Linked DNA regions of Neodiprion lecontei. The protein of the gene in region 2 interacts with the protein of the main gene of each other region in a pairwise test. Links are inferred from orthologs where the notes say so. Each region holds a gene or a part of one and is shown on either strand. Other genes may lie near its edges.

What was found.
Region 1: the proteins of U3 small nucleolar ribonucleoprotein protein MPP10 (region 2) and U3 small nucleolar ribonucleoprotein protein IMP4 interact in a two-hybrid assay, tested with the Drosophila melanogaster proteins (2 studies listed by BioGRID). The link is inferred for Neodiprion lecontei from reciprocal best matches to the Drosophila melanogaster genes CG13097 and CG11920.

Annotation. Positions count from the first base shown.
Region 1 is NC_060263.1:38,126,585-38,135,587, reverse strand, and holds U3 small nucleolar ribonucleoprotein protein IMP4, read right to left. Parts: upstream 2,981-9,003; 5' UTR 2,841-2,980; coding exon 1,905-2,840; 3' UTR 1,850-1,904; downstream 1-1,849. Other genes in the region: HMG box-containing protein 4, read right to left, coding at 1-203, 1,338-1,467; phospholipase A-2-activating protein, read left to right, coding at 3,411-3,547, 3,755-4,630, 4,832-5,162, 5,244-5,484, 5,577-5,998, 6,125-6,451; dual specificity protein phosphatase Mpk3, read right to left, coding at 8,553-8,929.
Region 2 is NC_060262.1:22,090,432-22,102,955, reverse strand, and holds U3 small nucleolar ribonucleoprotein protein MPP10, read right to left. Parts: upstream 7,773-12,524; 5' UTR 7,616-7,772; coding exon 7,539-7,615; intron 7,122-7,538; coding exon 5,774-7,121; intron 5,656-5,773; coding exon 5,547-5,655; intron 5,461-5,546; coding exon 5,087-5,460; 3' UTR 4,476-5,086; downstream 1-4,475. Other genes in the region: aryl hydrocarbon receptor nuclear translocator homolog, read left to right, coding at 187-390, 844-1,038, 1,964-2,122, 2,189-2,497, 2,622-2,803, 2,887-3,034, 3,807-4,033.

The DNA of each region.
Region 1 (9,003 bases), on a different chromosome or scaffold from region 2:
GTCTCCATGCTGAGATGAATGACTTTGAGTAACTTGCTGACGATGCGCCTCATAACGCTCTAGCAAATGCTGTGCGTGTAACTGTTGGGCTTTTTGTCGTTTGTATTTATTGTCTGCTATGTCATCAGGAGACTCAAAGTCCATAAGTTTAGAGGACTTTTTACGCACGCGACCACTACGTGATATCCCTGTAACCTCTAAATCTGAAATGTAAAGCCAACTAGATCTTGCCAAAAGAGGATCAGGGATAAAAACACATCGCATTACATCTAACTACGCTTTTAAATCCAAATGAAAGACTTCAAAACTACCAAACTATTGAAAAGTAGGATTCACTACGCAAATTGGATTTACTGGTCAGAACTGATGAAGGGTCGGCCTATATATTGGGTGTAACTCAAATAAAGTATTACTTGCAGCAACTTTCTTGCCAAAGTTAATTACGATGTAAACTTACAGGGTTGTTGCAAAATTTTTTTTTCCAGATTCTCAAGCTTAACCAGTTTTCAGGAACAAAGAGATGATTTCTCTCAGATTGTTTCAAAGTATAGAAATTTACAGTTTCAATACGTCAAAATTATCACATTCCAACTTAAACAATTCTAAATTTCTTTTAGCAATAAGAAAATGCTTATCAAGTTAAGTGAGATATGAAATTATTTGGGAACCATTGAATGAACAAAGTCCAATAGCACCCTGTAATACTGTTTTAAATTTCAACTTTACACAATTTACTTTGTTATTCGCAATTATAATAATAATATTGATTTGCAGACAGCATTTTTTGAACACAATACAAATGTATTACTCCCTACGAACAGAAATCTAGTTCTCAGGTCCCTCTTTATTTCATAGGATGATTGACTCAAATTGAGTGGCTTGACTTTAGAATGGGATTAAATTTCAGGGTATTTAATAGAATTCTTTGGCTACATAGAAATTTTCACGTTTGCGACGACCCTGGTATTGGAAAAATTTTACGTGCGACTTATTGTGAAAAATTTGGTAACATAATATGCGAAAATTTGTTCTAAATATTAGTAAAGTTGAATTAAATAATTGAATGTTAATTTATCGATCCGTTCCAAACTGCGCTCAATTTACGCGCTGATGAATTAGTTCCAACGCCGACCGCGACAAATACACAAGCGCTAACTACGTGGCAAGAGAACGAGAAACTACATGATACGGAGAATAGGCTAAATCGCAAAAACGAACGTTACTACTAAATGAATAAAATCCATGCGCCAATGTCTACGTAAATTTTGACACAGTAGTGTTTAGGATGCAGCTAAGCTAACCAAATTGCTTATATACGCGTTTTGGACGTATCTCACCATCCGTTTTTTGATGACGTTTCGGGGACGCGAACGATTCCATTTCGTCGAGCTGGTCGAAATGTTTCTTACGCCGCTGTGCTTGGGGGTTCTCAAGTTTTGGTACTTGTTTTCGAATGTCCGCCTGCATGACGGGGTTGTTTAAATTAAAACAAGCTTCAAGTTTAGTTAAATGATCGTACTTCTTTTTCAGTGCTCGTAATTAAATTAGACCAATTTTACACACACACAATTACCCTGATCTTTTAAAAACAACTGCAGCGTTGCAACCGAAACTGTAGTGCGCATGATCCGTCCATCTAGGTTGAATTACTGTTTCGTGGCGACTCGATTTGCGCGCGAAACTGACATCATCAATGAGTTATTAATAATTGTAAATTACTTGAAAAAGAGCAGATGATTCAAACATTCAATATTTTCCATTTAATGCACTGAATATCGAGTTACATAATGTTTAGAAAAAATTAAAGGTTAGATTTACGGTAAATGAGAAAAAGGCAATTTCATAGCTGTACATACAAAATTCATTTTATTTATAAAAAACCATATGTCTGACTTGAAGTGCATCTAAAAGTCATCTTCCTGTTGCCACCCATCTTCCTCAGATAAAAACCGTCTTTTATGAGTAGTATTCATGTACGGTCGCAACGCCCACTCTGAATCAGCAGCAGCAGCATTGTCTAATGTGCCCAATTTGATTTCGTACAATTTAAGTTGAAACCTGGGACCGACTTCAGACATTTCAATATCCTTGCCATTTATTTTCTTGTAATTATGATGACGGAATGAAATATAGTCGTCGTGATTAGCAAAAGTGATTATCCTTTTGCTGTCCTCCTTAGGTACAGGAAACAAATGCTTTAATATGCTGACAGTCCTCTGTCCCAGTTTAGTTTTAAAGTTGTGAAATATTAAATGCGGATACTGTTCAGACATTGTTCCAATGTCTGGAATATCGTGACGCATGACGACGTCTGACATGGTGAAATAGGCTGTAGGTCCGTAGGGCAGATGGCAGATAACCAGGGTGTCTGGAATCCCTCTATGCTCGTGCACCATGATAAAATCGGTCACGTCATTGGCACGACAGGCGTGAATTAGCTGTTTCATTTCGTAATTACCGCGATTCATCCTTTGGGAGTTTGGAAATATGAGTCTGAGCTCTTTGACGAACATTTTCAGCCGCGAGCTGGGGTCTCGCGATGTCGTTATAACTATTTTCGGGTCCTCGACACCTGCCCATCGGTATTCGTCGTCCTCGTGCGTGCCGATTGCTCCTCCCATCTCCGTACTGATCGCTACGGCCATTTCGGGGCCTGCATCTTCCCACTCGATTTTTTTTTGCAAATGCAATGCATTCTTCCTTAGGTCGTGATGGATCGGAGTATTCTCTTCTAGGCTATGTTTTAACCTCTCTTTCTTGTCCTGGATCGTCTTCATTTTGTCCTGTACTGACTTTCGATAGAGGTATTCCCGCCTCAGTCGCGCTTGTCTTCTCAACATCTTCGATTTTTCGTTTTTATCAACCCTTTAGCACACAATAATGCGTTATTTATTTTTCACAATTTGCGAGGCTGCCGTCAAACAAGCATCAAATCCGATGCAACACACGTGTTTTGCTACTCGTATTCCATAGGTTGAGTAAAAAGTAGAGAACTTACGCTACAGCTAGATATGAATAGCTAGACATCGGGCAATTCTCGAAGTTTTTAAATTCGTCTCAAATTCGGTTGAAGCGTGAAATCAATAATCGACGTGCTATAATTATGAACGCATCTTGTAAAAAACGAACAAGGCTATGCAGTCTACCGTACAAATAATGATATTTTCCACGCGTGTTGGAGTACGTTAATTATTTATTTCACGTTTAAATCAAATTTGACTCAGAGTTTCAGCCCTTTTTAAAGTTTTGACTCACGGCCACCAGCAGAGCGTTGCGGACACCTAAGACAACGAATTTGATGAAAATTTCGGACAATGTGCGTTACTACATCGCCCGTGAGCACAGGCGTGGATGACAGTAGATGATAGATGCAGTTTTATAGTGGTTCGTACAATCAATTTTGATAGATCATGGAAGAAGCACCGTATAAATTAAGTTCCGTGTTAGTTGGTCACAGTTCTGATGTGCGAGCTGTAGCGGCATTTAAGGATGGAAGTCTGGTGTCAGTCTCGCGCGATAAAACCGCTCGCCTTTGGAGGCCGAATGAGTATGTCGAAGCTCTAACCTATATTCCTTTGAATGTCCCACAACGAATTATTATTGTCCCTGTGATCGAGGCAACGTGTAAATGAGGGATTTTCTTTTCATTGTCAAGCTCCCCGTTTGGTTGTTCCATAGTTGACTAGCGAACGGAAATTCGCTTCGTTGCTCAGGTTTTCATGATGCTTGACCCTCCGCAATAATTAACTTTCAGATTAAATGCCGGATACACGGAATCCGCAGTGCTAAAGGGTCACAGCAACTTTGTGAGTTCAGTATGCGTAATAAACCCCTCTGAACAATTCCCGGATGGCTTTGTAATTACTGGGAGCAACGACAACAATATCTGCATTTACCTGCCTGGGGAAGAGAATCCGCTGCACACTATAAAGGCGCACCAAAACACTGTGTGCAATTTGAGTGCAGGTAAGGAGGAGGGAACATTCCTATCCAGTTCGTGGGATCTTACAGCAAAATTATGGCATATCAACAAGCTGGATTCACCACAACTGACTCTGACCAGTCACACGGCAGCTGTCTGGTGTGTGGCAGATTTGGCCAATGGCGTCATAGTCTCAGGATCGGCTGACAAGCTGGTTATAGCCTGGCGGAGAAATGGCACCATACTCCACAAGTTCTCAGGACACACAGATTGCGTTCGTGGAATATGCGTGATCAAGGACGAAGAGTTTTTGAGCTGTGCCAATGACGCAACCATTCGACATTGGAGTGTATCCCTAGGGACTTGCCTCGGCACTTACTGTGGGCACACGAACTACGTGTATGGAATAGCATCGACGTTTCTGCTGGGCGGTTCACATGTTGTTACTTCCGGAGAAGATAGGACTGTTAGGATTTGGCACAACGCTGAAATCCAACAGACTTTAACACTCCCTGCGCAGTCCATATGGTCAGTTGACATTTTGCCAAATGGAGACATTGTCACTGGATCTTCCGATGGATTAGTTAGAATTTTCTCTGCTAAACCTGAACGTTATGCCGATGCTGCAACTTTGCAACAGTACGACGAGGCCATCGCTAATACCCAGCTTAATGCTGAGCAGGAGTTGGGTGGCATCAAGATTAGTGAGTAGGTATTCTTCCCTGTTTCTTGTCAAATTTTTCTTTCATCTTTGAATATTACTTCTGGAAGGAAAGGGTGTACGTTTAATCCTACGCATCATTGACTTGTTCTAAAATGACATAATTTTAGAATGATTGTGCGAAATTTTTAACATCTTATGTATTTTGATCAAAAACATTAACAATGATGATTCCTGGTGACCCACAGTCTGCCAGATGCCAAAGCTCTACATCAACCTGGACAAAGAGATGGTCAGACAAAAATGATAAGAGATGGAAATACCGTCAAGGCTTACAGCTGGTCGCAATCAAGCAAACAGTGGCAACATGTGGGAGATGTGATGGGTGCCTCTGGTGGTAGTCCAGCCACATCTGGTAAACAATTGTATAATGGTATGGAGTACGACTACGTTTTCTCAGTCGACATTCAAGACGGTGTTCCACCTCTAAAGTTGCCTTACAATAATGGCGATGATCCTTGGTGTGCGGCCCAAAAGTTTATCCATGATAATAACCTTAGTCAACTATTTCTTGAACAGGCAAGATATCAATTTTATCAAACAAAATGTCTTATGCACATGGCTTACGAAGACCCTTCAATGACATTTTCCTGTTTGCAGGTGGCAAACTTCATTGTAAATAATTCTCAGTCTGCCCCAGTTCTGAACGCCGAACCCCAGTTCGCTGATCCTTTTACAGGAGGAAATAGGTACATACCAGGATCTGGAATTCCTGGAAGAACATTACCAAATAATGTGCCAACACCGTCGGCTAGCTCTTCCAGTAGTTCTGTGTCGCAGACATATATACCGCATACTACCTATTTGAAATTGGAGCAAGCCAATGTTCCAGCTATCACTGGTGATGAATGATTGCATATTTTTTGCACATAAAATACCAGTAATTTTGTTACTACTAAAAATATACAACAAATAATTTGTTAAAATTTCCAGAAAAATTACTAGAGTTCAACAAAAAGATTGACAATGGCATTCACACAGTTTCGGAGGAATGCTTAGACCCATTTGTAAAACGATTGTGCAGTCAAAACGGAGACGAGGTTGGAGCTGATCCAATTGAAATGTTGAAAATATTTTTGAATTGGCCAAATAACTTGGTGTTCCCAGCACTAGACCTTGCAAGGCTGGCTGTACTTCGACCAGATGTTAACTCGCAGCTATGCAATGACGGATTATTGGCGGTGCTGAGGCGGCACATCAAAACTGATGCACTTCCAGCTAATCAAATGCTAGCTTTTCGAGTACTAGCTAATATGTTCTGCCATAGTAAGGGTGAAGCATTGGGTCTACATTATAAAGACGAGTTACTCAAGACGATACTCGACCTTTCGTCTCTTGGAAGTAAACATAACCAGGTATAACCGGTACTTCAACATTTATTCTGACATGCGGGACGGTTTGATCAGCGCCAACGTTCTTAGAGCTTCTATCCGTACATGTTTTCAATCCTACAATTAATCAATTTACAACTGTTGTTTCAGATTGCGATAGCGAGTTACCTGCTTAATCTAATAGTGGCATTGAATAAACTTGACGATACACCTGGCAGAACAAGAGTACTTAATGTGATGTTTGCCGTTTTGCCGCTCTTGACTGAGCCCGAAGCAATATTCAGAGGGCTCGTTGGGTTGGGTACAATTTTGGCAGCAACACCAGACCCCGAGGATCGTGATAAATTAATTACAGCTGTGCGACAGTGCGAAAGTGCACTGGCTGTTATCAAGACAATGTCCGAATGTTCGACCAATAGCCCTGCACAAAATAAACTTTCTAATTGTTCCAAGCAAATTATTGATCTAATTATGTAAAGAATTCTTACTGTCAAACTTTCGTATTTTTAATACTGAAGGAGAAAATATTCATTCGGCAATTCGAATTTCTCAAAATAATTAAACTCACGATTTCTTCGTAATTGGTTATGAGAGACCTAGTTACTCGAATAGTCTACATAAAATTTTTAGGCAACAAATTCATATCTTCTCGAAATGATTTGGCTCCAATTCGTGGAATTGGGACGGTTTCTTGTTCACGCGAGACCTGCATCAATTATGTAATGTTCATTTATGATAATATTTTTGCATTATTTACTGAATTGCTGTGTGAATATTGATTGATTACATCCATTACATGTACAGTGTGTAGTAGAGTGTGCTACGTGTTACCCATTAAAATTAGCATCATTTGGAATAAAAGCAGTGTTCAAATTTATCGAGAGCACTTTTAAATGAAAGAGGCGAAAAATTATTTAATGATTGTCCCACAACTCTAGCATTGCTGGAGAAAATCTTACGTCTGCGTGTGCTACCAAATTTGACAATAATTGCGACCTTTGATACAAGAATTTTTCTAGTTTTTTTTTTTTTTCTTTTCTCCTAAGCAACCCACAGGGAGTAGTTTTTAATTTATCAGTGAACTTTACTACCCATGTAATGTCTTGAATTCAATGCAGATCACGTTTTTTTTTTTTAGTATTTGATTCAACATTGTCAGCATTGTAAGCTTCTATGATTTTTCTATTTAATTCGAATAAAATGCCGAATAGTTTAACGGGGAAATTTGGAGTGACAGAGAAATTGATGACATGTAATAGTGACAGTGATAAAACAAAAGTCGCACATGAGGTAAGATAACTTGTATATCTAAATAAAAATGAGCTCAAATATGTACAACGACGAATATAAAATAATAATTTATGTAATATACATATTTGATTTAATTCTTCGGACGTTCAATCCATTAAACATACAACAGACAACGGTGTAGTAGTAGAATATTGTTATTATAGTAACGTCAAATATATATTTCCTTAACAGATAAACGATCGGTCTTGAGTGATCAAGAGCCGGTTCATCTTAACTTTGTAATTAGTTGCATGAAAAATAACATTCACTGTATATATTCATATTAATTTCAATTATGTTCGATGAAAAATACATACTATATATTGAGATAGTTTGTTTCAGCCATGTAGATTTAGGCTCGCGACGGGAATGTGAATGTGTTGGCTTTTTTCTTTGTTTTTTTTTTTTTTTTGGTTTTTTTTAAAAAAATAATTTTTTAATATATTCTTGAGATCTGTAGGACGATATTGCAGAAAAGTGATGTTGCTGCTCTGAAGTTCGAACAATCAATCAAAAATGTGCAGATGATTCAGACTGCGATATTCATTATTCATTCATTTGCTTAATTAATTAATTAATTAGTTATTTACTTTCTTTCACTAGTATATTATCATTATCCCAAGTACATTGGGCCACCGAATGCATATTTCAACAACCAGAAAAAGCAGTTTTTAACGCAGCCGTTACAACTTTTTAACAACATGCGTACTGATCTGACTATTCGATTTATCTTTTTTTTTATTTTCATCTAACACTAGCAAACCACTAGAGCAGTTTGAACCAATTTTCTGTTTCATGCATATCACCGTACACGTAATGTAAAATTGAGACAAATTATGCACGAAAAGGGGTAGGGAATGCTCTCCAAAAAAGAATACCGAATAAAGATTTTACCCGAGGATTTCTTTACTCGTTCAATGTATCATCATAAAGTAACCGAGGCTTCGCGAAGTTTACAAGTCACGTATTGCGGAAGAACAGAAAAGAAATATCAAATTTAAATTTCAAATTTCAACCCAAACGGCGTTCCGGAATAAAGGTATTTTTTTCCTTCTGGTTTTTATCGGATAAATGAAAAAAATTTAAAACGAAGCGTATCAAAGTATCTTCAACTGTTAAAGACCCTTTCAAACTTCTCGGATAAAATATTCTTTGAATAAATAATAAAACTATCCTCGTTCTTTTTTCCGTATACCCGTAGCAATTACGTGGCCGCGTTGGGCTGAGCTGGGCAGAATGAATAGCTGGGAGGGACCTAGAATTTGTATTGGGTCCCCCCAGCCCCGTCTCATTCTGCCGGCGTACTAGCCGCCCATCTATCAAACTCAATACCTGAATCAGGACTAAGACCTAGATCGATAGGACTTAAAAAGCTAGGTACGGGACAATTGCAAGGACCTCCAGGTCGGCAGGCGCCGATGCACCTTCTGTCGTTGCCTTTACTTCTATCCCCCCGATTCCTGAGCTCTATTTCAAAGCTGTGCAACTGTTCCATGAAGTGAAAATTCGGAGCTACGTTTGACTTCCGGCTTCGTACTAAATTAAAAGCGTCATTCAGGCTAAGGCTGCACTTGTGCATAAGGTAGGCAACCGTTATTGTTACGGAACGTGATACTCCGGCTAAACAGTGGACCAGTACACCTTTATCCGAACTTCTTGCTTCCTCTGGAAAGAAACGGAAAAAAATCAGAAATCATTATCACGAGAGTTATCGAGGCTTATAAACGAGGTGGCAACGT
Region 2 (12,524 bases):
TCGACATAAATGTTACTTCAACGGATTTGTTTGTAAAATACTAGTAATCTGCGGTAAAAAGACTTAGTTGATCAAATATTCGATTGCAACACAATAGTCTTCTGAGTACTATTTTTTACAACGTTCGTACATAATCTCGGCAAAAATTCAACCGTTTTATCATTTCAACTCTTACTTGAATTTCAGCATCCATGAGACTTTGCATGGGCTCTAGGAGGGGCTTCATTTGTCGTATGAAAGTTGGAAGCCTTCAGACAAGCGGTGACATGGCCGCGGCACATGGTTTGCACCGTCTTAAGCAGAGAAACTCTTTGGGACCACCCGCAAGAGACGGTCAAAGTTATGCAGTAGTACACTGCACTGGTTACATTAAAAACTGGCCCCCAACCGGTGAGTATGATGGGCAGTGGAAAGTGAAGTTGGCCCATTTATCTGAACCTACGTTTCTTAATTATGTCTGCAGGGTGGTCACAGCAAGGCAATTCAGTTTCTCGATTTTCGGTTTTCACAAAGAGAAACAATAAAGAAAAAAATTAGTCAATGTGTTGTTTTCTTCGGGCAATGAATATTTGGTAGAAAATCATATCTTAGGATGTCGAACTTTTTGATACTTGCTTTCATTGTCAATAATTACGCTTAATCGAAACATGTTTCTTTCAATACCTAATAATCACTGGTTTATTTTTATTCACGAAAATACTGCATTTACATCTGAATGAAAGGACAGTTATTTTTTTTTTTTTTCACTTATATCTGTGACCACTCTCTACATGTACATATAATTAAGTTTGTTAAGTTTTCGATGGTGGACCTGGGTACCTAACAGGCTCTTTTAAATCGTAGGTGATTTTGTTTCCCCGTGTGTACCAGGTGTGGGTATAGGTGACAGGGGTCAGGGTGGGGGAGTTCCAGGGGCACCTGATGGAGTCGTTGGTGACGACAGCGGCTCGTCACACTGCTGCTTAGTAGCCATCGGACGTCTTCAGGTCACAAGCACACCAAATACCAGTGATTTAACTGGTTCAAACAGTAACAATGGTGAGATGCTACTTTATCTTGTTTAAATAACATTAACACACTGAAGGAATGCTTATCTGTTTCTTTAAAATCACAGAAGTAGAAAAAATCTATTTAAGATATTAATCCCCATCATATAGACTATAAAAAAGTCTCAATCAGTACGGACTGGGTGAGGAATACTCGGTAAAACTTCAGTCATTTAGATCGTTTGGCTTGAATTGGTCAGTTGAAACTGTTCTCTTTTTTTTCTCACAACATATCTTTTCAAAGTGCTCTTTCCACACAGGCTTATCGTATTGTAAGCATTTATAACGCGTTTTATGGTCGGGAGAAGAAGGGCACAAGTTGCATCATTTGGTTTTCGCTATCTTATTATCGGCCAATTCATGCTGGATATCCTATTCCTCTGGCATATCACTAGGCTTTAAAACATCCTCAATTGAATTTCGCAATTTGAGATGTCGAGTGGGTATAACCAGTCTCCTAACTAAGGTTTTACAAGTTTTAATGATAGTTCTTTGATAAATTTGTTTCTTTGTATGGCTGTTTTTTTCATTCAAATTACATGAAATGAAACTATTTACACTAGCTTGATCCAGCATACCATACAACATTCTTACAGGCCATCTAAACGATTTCTTAGCCGTTTTATACTGATGGCATTTCTGGTCAAAACTATCAATGCATTTCGAAATGACGATGCATTTTTAGAAAAAATCGTTATCTCCCAACTTTAGTATAGTTAGATATGCAGTAAGCCATAATAATGCCAGATATCTTCATGCTTTGCAAACTAAACTGCTTTAAAGTCATTCTGGAGTTGCGAAATAGAGATTTGTTTTTTCAATATTTCATTGTGTCAACATTAATACCTTCGATATCGTTGGAAACTTCAATCGCTAAAACTGACTGTCATCCAATGGTGAATTTCTCTGTACTACAGAATTCATCTCCCGTCATTCAGCTGAAGGAAAATTCACTTTTGTCGATCAGAGGGTCGGTGGAATCCTGGGATACACGCCATCTGAGCTCCTCGGACATCCCTGCTACGATTTTTTTCACCCTGAAGACCTGACGCACATGAGGGAAAGCTTTGAGCAAGGTAAATAAAACTTAGGAAAAAAATGGTCGAAACTTTTTGTTGACCGTGTTTTTTCTTATATCACAGTACTGAAACTAAAGGGCCAAGTTATGTCGGTGATGTATCGATTTCGGGCGAAAAATCGGGACTGGGTTTGGCTCAGAACGTCCGCCTTTGCGTTTCTCAACCCTTACACGGATGAAGTCGAGTACATAGTCTGCACGAACACAACGGCCAAATCCTTGCACCCTGGTGGTGAGGGACAAACCGAAGGAGAGAATGTCTCTGGTTATGGACAACCTAGTCTTGACTACAGCGTCCACAGACATCCTGCCAGAGAGGCTATTTACCCAGCCCATCAAATGATGCAGCATCCTGCGACAGTTGCTACTGCAGGTATGGTATCTTATAACTTGATTTTCCACCTGTCATGAAATTCTTTGTCAAGTGCCGCAAAACCTGAATGTCGCCAAACGAATTTTGACCAAGTTATCACTTCATCTCGGTCACCTACTTACAGGACCCCAACAAGCAAGACCATCCAGTGCTCAAAACGTTTACCAGGGATATGAAACGACCCAGTCACCAATAGCCTATGGATCCCCCGGTCAGCAGAGCACCTCCTCCTCGGTTCTAAATCGTATACCAAAACCGGCAAACACATCGCCGACTCCCGTTCAGCAAGCCTGGACACTCAGACAGGTAAATATCAACGGTGCAATTATTGTTCCGCATCAGGTCCTGTCAGGAATTGTCTCATTCAATGCCACCCTATTCTTTTATAGCAACAACCTGTCACCGAAGGCTACCAGTATAACCACCAGTTAAGTCCGTCGAGATCTCCAAGTGGTCCAACTTATACTCAGCTTAGTAGTGGAGCTCGAACACCTGCGGCGTCTTACCACGCGGTTACAACAGTTCCGAACAATCCGGGTAAGTCAACGTGTGGTAGGGTTAATGATTAAATTTATTCGATTAACAGGGCTTATACCAGTAGGTGCCTAAAAAAGTGAGTGAATTCTAAGAATTTATATCTTGACAATCAATCATTCAATTCGATTGGGGATCGTTTTATTCAAGAGTATGCAGGTTGAGCTTCATTTAAATACAATTTTTATTAGAATCAATTATTAGGAACTATTGTTATTGACAATAACGTCAACTCTTTCGCTCATTGACACCTTTTGTGGTCCTCACGATAGCTCAAAAATGGCTCAACCAATTTACTTCAACTTGGAGCTGACATTCTTGGACAGTTTATTCTTTTCGCCACAATCCTATTTCTTTCTATCATCATATTATTATGTTAACTAAACTTAAAAAGAGTGGTAAATTTTTTTTTGTGAAAAATTATATTCCAACTTTAAACGTTTCTTGTTCCGTTGAGAACAAAAAATTTTGGATTCCGGAAGAGAAGATAAACTCGCCGCGAAAACTCTCCAAATTTGAGGTACCAAAACTACCACTGAGCGAAATGTTTGAATTTAGTATCAATAACAATGCTTTCTGTTAATAGATCATAATTAAAAAAAAGACCTCAATGAATCTCGATCTACATACTTTTAAATTACATAAACCATGATCAAATTGAAAATCGATAGCAGAAATTTGAATTCTCGAAATTCCCCCGCTTTTTGAGCCGTTTACTCGTATACGTAGGTATACCCCCCCAGCAATTGATTTTTTTATTTGATCATCATTTTAGGCATGTGGGGCTGGCAAGGCCAGCAGCATCAAGGGCCGCATCAAGCACAGCAGGACGGTGGACAGGCGGGTGCACCGGTCGCTAATCAAGGCCAGGGTCCTCACCCCTCGCAAGGAGGTCCAGGAGCGCAGCCTCAGGAGTTATCGGACATGTTACAGATGTTACAGGACCAAGGCGGAGCCCCTGGTTTTGAGGAGCTCAATATGTTCAATACTAATTTCGAGTAGGAAGGGGGGCAGGGGAAATCTTGGTGGTAGAAAAATAACTAATTAATATAACTATTATTGATATTGTATTTTTCCACCTTCGATATTAATCCCTTTTATTGATATTTTTACTCAGCCCTTACCATCCTTCCTGATCTTAATACTTTCAATTTAGAAAAGAAACAAAGTAAATAAAATTTAACAAAATTAAGCGAAGTCAAATAAGGATAGTTAATACGCAGAATTTCCAATTTCTACTTGGAATGGTATTTTAAATATATTTAATTATGTACATTTTATGATCAACTTTGAATCATTGATCGATCCATGTTCCATATACTTATTTGCCAGTGTTCTGGAGAAATTCATTGCAAAAGTGGAAAACTATTTAAAATGAAGAGGAAAAAAATGAAAACTACAAGGAGTTGACAAAAAAAATATTGAAATATTTTTCAAACTTTTCAGAATAGTTACGAATAAGAAATTAAAACTTTTCGACTGCAAGCTTTCATCGTAGATATATATGATAAGGAGTAGCTTAATGAAATTGTTTTTTCATATATTTGTAAACCGTGCAATTACTATAATGTTTTTGATGACAGATATTAGACAAAGACACGACCGTGACAATGTACAAAATTATATAACTCACTCGAAGCTGCTTGTTATTTACAAAATGATGTCATTAATGGATATCAATTTTCTAAGTAATATTTTTTCTTAGATATTAGTAATAACATAGCACATAATTAAATAATTGTAATTATAATAAGACTATCACTTGTGAATTGTTGCATTTGTATATGTTTAGCAATATTTTAGATTGAAAGCAAGAGAGAGATTGAGAAATAACAAAAAAAAGTTTTAAAAAACAAAAAAAAAACCATAGCATATCATAATCGTGAGAAAACGGAAACACTTTTTCACTAATATATGGGGAATACTATACGGAGAAAACTCGTGTTTTAAATTTCATTTATTAATAATAATAATGATGAATACCTCTAATTGTAACTAACGTACTTTAAAAAAATAGTAGAAGAGGAAATTGTTTTAATTATCGACTATACAAGTTCAGAGTTTTAATTTCACCGCGGATAATGCCTTCTTGTCTTTCTTCTTCCGCACATTGCCGTCTTTCGATTTTATATGAAAATTGACTTGATCCTGAAGCTGATCAAAGAATGCTGTGGAAGACTTTGCCGTCTTTCCACTCGTTTCATCTATCTTTGAAATATTACGCTCCTTACTCAAACTGTCAATCATCTTTGCTGCTTTTTCCTTACTGTACTTATTTCCAAGACCAGGTTTCAATTTCCCAACAATCTTTTCCCGCTTTTCTTTAGCTTTCTCTCTGTCTCGTTGATTCAACTTCTTTTGACGCCTTTCACGTTTCATGTCCGTCTCAGTTCTCTCGGCTCTGCCGATCAGGTCGCCACGCGATTTTGCTGTAATGAAACGGAATTGAATAATTTGTAATAGCGAACTTTTTCTGTATTCAGATAGATACTGATTGCTGTATTATATGGTTTACCTTTTATTTCTTCTGGTGCCAATAAAGTTGCATCACTTGTGGCTATCGGAGCTACTTCCTCCATCGTTACAGCAGGAAGGTTGCTAACGATTTTGACGTCAGGCCTGGCCTAAAATAAAATGCGAAAACCATTATCGATACATTATGAATTTGTGAATTCTAATCTGTCTCATTTCGGATCTAACTAGAATTAACAGATGCTGCATCAAGAGAAACTGATGGCTTACCAATTTTGGAGTGTAATGAAAATTGGAAAGAGCGTCAAGTTTGCTGAACAAAGAATGCATCATATTACGAATTTCAATGTGTTCTTTAGGTTCCTCAGTTTCTCGTTCCTCGTTGTCAGGGTTCAACGCTTCCTTTTGTTTCAAGTATTCATTTTCATAAATCTGTGCCAGACTAAGTTTGCTCTTCTCCTGGTCTAACACCAGCTTTTTTTTATATTCCATTGGGGTTTCAACAGGTTTAAATTTCTTCTCAACATCGTCCCAAGCTTTGTCTTTTATTCTCTGCTTTATTATATCCTCTAACTTCAATGTTGTTTCTTCAGTGATCACAGGAGCTGGTCTGGAAGTTATGTCAAACTCAACGTGCTCCTGCAGCAGTGAATCCTGTGGCCTAGATGCAGCATCAACTTCACCCTTTAATTGCCAAGGTTTTTCTGAAATTGCTGCTTCTTCCAATTCCTCTATTTTTCTTCGCAGTCTTTCTTGACGTGTTTCTAGGCTGGATTTTATCTCTGTAGTTCCTTCCTTTTTAGATTCATCTTCCTCTGAACTACTTGAAGCCGATTGATCATTGACACTGAATTTAACGCGTTTCTTATGAGGTTCTGTTGTTTCTTCTTCATCTACAGATAGGTTGGTATCGTTCTCAGATTCTTCATTAAAATGATTGCTCTCAGTCTCAGAGTTTGATTCATCGTTGCTCTGTGGTTGATCAAAGAAATCTTTAAACTTTACTAGTCTTGGGTCAGTTTCGTTGTCTTCGCTTCCATTATCAGAAACATATTCAAATAAGTCGACAGACTCCTCATCGGCATCATCACTGTCTTCTTCATTCGACTTCCCTTTTTGCATTTCTCTTTTATCTTCTTTCGTGAGGTACTCATCCAATTCTTGGAGTTTGAAGAATTTATCATCTACTATCGAGGGCGGTGTTTTTCTTTTGGCCACTCTTTTCGATTTCTTCTTCCTCATCTGCTTCCCCAGTCCTTCTATGTCTAAATTACTTAAGTCGCCGTCACTTAGGTCTGAATCGTAGGAAGATACCTGTTCGCCATCCAAAGATTGATCGAGGCCTGATTTATCATTGCTTTGTTGTTCATCACTCCTCGTTAGCTTGACAGGTAGTTTCAGTCTCTTACCCGCAATCAACGATCTAGAGACTCCTGTCAGAATATGAGGCAATTCTCCTTCATTCTGGAGTTCTAGCTGTTGCCATATTTGCTCAGTATCAAAACCCTCTGTGATTAGCTCTGGCAACGCCTCCGTCATGCGACCAGATTCTTCCTTAGTAAAATCATAAAGGGATTTTATCGTGTGACGGAATTCCAACGATGCACCTGCCTGTATGCTACAAAGATGAAAATTATCGGTGTTAATTGAGCCGAACAATGAAAGGTAATCACTGGCTGCATAAATTATTTGATAAAAATCGTAAGATGAAGATTTTCTTTCTAAATGAATATATTTTACATCTACTTCAATTTCATGGGACTGAAGTTAGTAATGGATAAGTAACGCAACGTTAAAAGAAAAATCGTTTTACAACTTTAAAATGAGTTTGAAAAGTTTCAGATTATAAAATCTGAGTATGCCGACGGTGTTTCAGTGTTCACTGAATTTCAAACAAACCGGGTTTTGCTAGAAGTAGAAGTACAACTTGAAAATAACGTTGAGAACTGCAGCCTCATTCAATTTTAACGTACTCCAGTCGAAATAATTATTGGACCTGTAAAACTACGGTTGTTGGAAATGAATTAGAATTAACCTCAAATAATTTTCAGTTTTCTTGGTGTTTGCTTCTACGACGTTGATGATGTCGTGGAAAACCCTCGAGCTCTTCATGATCGGTGAATAATTCTATACAATAGATAACTTAAACTGCAATAGTTTTTGAATTAAAAGACATTGTCACAACCATGTGGCATTCGAACTACGATTCGAACCTTTAAGAATGCTAGCCACATGCATTCACACTATGCATACTATGGGCATTGGTCAGGACAGGGGACGAATCACAGACTTTATACGTTGACTGAAGATATACAAAGACTGATAACCCTGGGTTATTTTTCGTAACAGTTTGTCGGGTCTGGCCGGTTTGGAGGTATTAGCAGATTCCCGTATTATCAACCAAGCAACTGAACACGCCCATAAACGAAGTTCATAACCAACAACAATCGTGTGCAAAACATTGATAACATACCGTTGACATGGTGAAATTGCAAAGTTGAGAAAATCCCGTTCAAGACATATGTGTGCCGAAATTATACAACGGAAAAATAAATGTCAATCAAGGACATGAACGTGTATCATTTATATTTACATGAATACATCAAATCTTTTGCGGGCGACAGTATCATCTCTAAGACGCTCAATTCATTTTTTCAAAGTTTTTTACGTAGTATTTTGGAAGAATATTGAAATGCTCTATTTTTAGTTCCAACCATTTGAAGAATGTTTCTATAAAGAATTTTTGTTTGCTTTGATGAGCACTTTTAAGATTACGATTTGAAGAAATTCGATATCTCAAGTTTTGAAAATATCCGAAAAATTCTGAAACACTTTTTTCTTTGCTAGAAGCACGTTGAAGATATGTAGAAGAATGAGCCTATTTTATGAGTTTTTCCCAAAATTTGTAAACGATAATTGGGTTTTAATTAAGAAAAATTCCGCAAGTTCTTGAATAAATATAAAAATTAATAATGGAAATGAATCTATCATGAGATTCATTGCAAATTAAGTGGAATGAAGAATAAAATATTTGCGGATTTATTTTAAATTCTGATGAGGTTTTAAAATTGTCTTTCAGTCATACACCTTTTTAGAAATGTGACGAAACAAAAAATTTATTTTATCTTCTGTATAATATTGACTTATCAAACCATATTTTTTTTCTCAATTGTTGAAATGCTAAATATTGATTATTGTCAATTCGTAGTTCTTTGAAGCGCTAAAAAAATTGGGAATATCTCTTTCTTTCAGAGCAAATTTTGAAATGTTCTGAATGCCATAAATAACATTATTGAAATATCAACGGTTGTTTTTCAATAAGTGGTTTTCAAGGGTAATGATCCGATGACTTTCAAATCATTAAATCCTGTTACCAACGCAACATTATTCGTAAAGTCAATTTTTATCCTGTCGGCTATACGTACTGCCGTTATCAAAAGATACTCATACTTATAATCTACTGCTATTCCGCATCAAAGGAAGTTGAAGCACGTATAGTTAAACCTTGCACCACTGCACATTTATTTCATTTTAAGAAGTGAGAATTGACTATATAATTGTTACGTTTCCAAAAGGTGGAGTTAAAAATGTTGAAAAGGTTGATCAAAGAGATACTTGATTTGTAGCCACCTACAATGAAGAGAGTACCGAAACCGGTAATCGATGGTAGTATAGCTAGAAGATAACTCGAAAATTTCCTTGCGCGTATTTATAATTGAACATGCAGATAACTTTGTCCCAAACCATAATCATCCTTGTCAATGGAAAATATTTTTTTGGAATATTTAGAGTTAGAAAGTGCGCGACGTGGATTTTTATTATTATATGTATAGGGGTATCAGCCTAAAACTCGAATTGAATTATGAATTCATTTGTTTATTTATTTATTGATAAATTTATATCTTTTACGGGATAAAATTCATTTTTACATAGAAAATACAGATTAGCGTTGATAGGCAAGCCAGTATCTACTTGTATGAAGAAGTAAAGTATCAATTCTGAATTGTTTTTTATTTCTTGATTCATAAAATTAGATTTGTGATTATTTTTTTGTACTCCAAGAAATTGAAGTGGGAATTATTTTTTATTTCTTAATTCGAAAAATTATACTGGGAATTTGTTTTCACTCTCGTGATTCGAAACGATGAATAAAGAATCAGTTCTTTATTTCGATAATTGGAATAATTTAATTGAGAATTAATTCATCTTCTTCAATGAGCAAATTCGTATTATTGCAATTACTTTCAATTTCTCAATTCAAAAACTCGAATTGAGAATTTTTGTGAAAAATTTAATTTTAGTAGCGTAATTAAAAATGAGTGCTGTCAATTGTGATTTTTAGTTTGAAACTAAAATATGTCCGACACTGCTACATTGTATTACATAATTGTGTGGAAAAATGTGCATGCGGCGGGTTGCAAGCCGGTGTGTTTACCGGTCCAAGGATAGTGAGTGGGGTGAGATTGCGATCGAGCGTCTGTGCTGCTGGGCGTCCTAAGAAAAGGAGACTCGCGTAAATACTACGCAAAGGACGCCGCTTCACGATGTGTTTATCTCGTTCATTTTTGATTACGAAAAGTCCCATAAGACTATCAGTCTTTACATATCTTCAGTCAACGCCGTAAGTGGTCGGAGAAGTGATACTTCGCCTGACGGCGCACGTTACGGCAGTCTTGTAAACATTAGATCGCGTTGCGCGTAGCTTGCGTGGTGTTTACACCCGGCCGTGAGACTATGGATATATAAAATAGAGCGTAAGCAACGGCGTGAGCGTCCCGTGAACAGATTTGAATCGATTCTCTAAAGGATAGAAGATAATAATTCTCCCCCCCTCTCTGTCGCTCTTCCGTGATCGTCGTGCGCGGGTTGGGGAACGGGAGAGGAAAAACAGCTAGGTGGCGGGTGCAACTACCCCCACTCCACGGGAAGATCAGGAGAGAGGGCGGGAGCGCCGAGCAGAATCAGTCGTCTCCGAGCAATCGAACTGAGATCATCCGTCCTCGGCATCAGTTCAACATTCCGACCGGTGGTTCAAGTGCATTTCCAACATACTTGTCTGTGAACAATACACGAGGAGCCGTGTATAACCTAACAAAAAACCGAGTTACTAAAGTAAAAACATCCTGCGAACATTGAAGGTGAATTTTGTGTCCCGAGTTTTCATTGTTTGTTGTGTAACTTCAGATTTTAGTGATGTGTGTTTTGTCTCTGTGCGTCGTGTGTCAATTTTAATATTTTTATGGCTTATTTTCGGCAAATGCGCTATTGCATTGTTAGCAAGATTATTCACTCGGTTCAAACAGACAGCTGTAGCACAAAAACTGAGTGTAGAATCCGAGTGTTATTGCGGTGCGGACTTTTGAACTATAAGAGACTAGTGAAGATGTGAATGATGTGAAAAGTGCGTCGCTTCACCGATAAACCTGAGATGCTGCAACTACTGCATGTGAAAGTGTGGAACAGCCCACAGTCGAGGTAACAATACTTATTTTAATTATTGATTGATAGTTCACGGTGGTCATTTAAAGCCGAACGAATTCGTAAATATGAAACAAGACATCAGTAATAATTAATTTGAAAACTGAAAAGCCAATTTCCTAAATTAATTCAAGTGTCGTGTTTTGTTTTTCACAGATTTAAGCAGAGACTTCCGAGTAACTTTTCCATTTCTCGGCAACGTTGGTGAGTTTGCATGTGTTAGGTTACGGGTATTTCCCTGGGATTCCTTTGTCACGTGGCGTGGCGGTAACAATTGTCACACAAATCTTCGATTTCTTAGCTACATGGATAGGCTCATTCACAATCGCAACGTGCTTGACTTTCAGTGGAATCATCATTTCTCGCAATGCAATTTAGCGTAGCTTACTTCAAATTAGAAATTTTACACGTTGCTAAAAGTGGAATGAGCATCGCGACAGGCAACCATCGCTTACTCGGCACTCGCGAGATCGAATTGTGTTTCGTAACTGATGTAATAATCTACGTTTGAATTTACCGATGATGCCGTTTAAGTGGTGGGTTCACCTGAGGTTTCAAAAGTATTCAATTATCCACATTATTGTTAAATTTCAAAATCAATTTGCATCTTATATATCATTTTCAATCTTTTAACAGCCAACAAGTATTGATCAACTGCAGGCTTAGCTCGCTTAGAAAAATGCTAATTAGAATTCAGGATGTTTTAATCAATTTTACCAAAGGTTAATGTACCGATAGTCTGCCAACATTTACTAAAATAACAAATGCAATATTAGAGTTGGCGGGATACAACCGCGATACTGTATTCTGAGTAGGCAGACTACGATACAAAAACATTTTGCTCCCAACAGGTAACCAATGAAAATGTAAGTCAGTGACCACGGCGCAAATGATGAAGAATGATGTGTGTTGGAAAAAATGGAGAATCGTTTAGGTCGAATATAGGTAACCGGGTAGGTAGGTGGACGTTTTGGGATCCGTCGCGGGGTTTATGCATGAGTGTGTGAATCTCTCTTTTCCGTTGGGTGGGTTCGTTGGGAAACAGGCGAGGTTAGGAAGGTCGCGATGTACCGTGATGCTACTAACTTTTGTAATCCACAGCGTCAAACGATCACAGACATTTTCCCAAAAGACTCCACATTCGAGTCTGTCGACCATTTGTAAACATTTGAGTATTAACGAGATTAAATTTCCCACTTCTTGTCACTTTGCAACGATTTTTCAATCGTTATCCAATTCGATTATTTAGTCATCACCGATCGTTATTCCATTCGATTAATCTCTGTGATCGTCTGAATGGGCAAAACGCATCTCTGGACCATTTATCGCGTTCCGTGGTACGCTAGATGGGGAGAGATGCTGAGCTCGAAGACTTCGCGTCGAAGAGGACCGCCGACCGTCACGCCACACAATAATGCATGCCCTCCAACCTCCCTCCCAATTTCAATTTGATTTGTAATCTGAGAACAACAATCCGCATAGCAATGTATCTGGTATCTAAAAGATGCAGATGCGGATTGGGTTTCTACAGAATTTTTGGGAC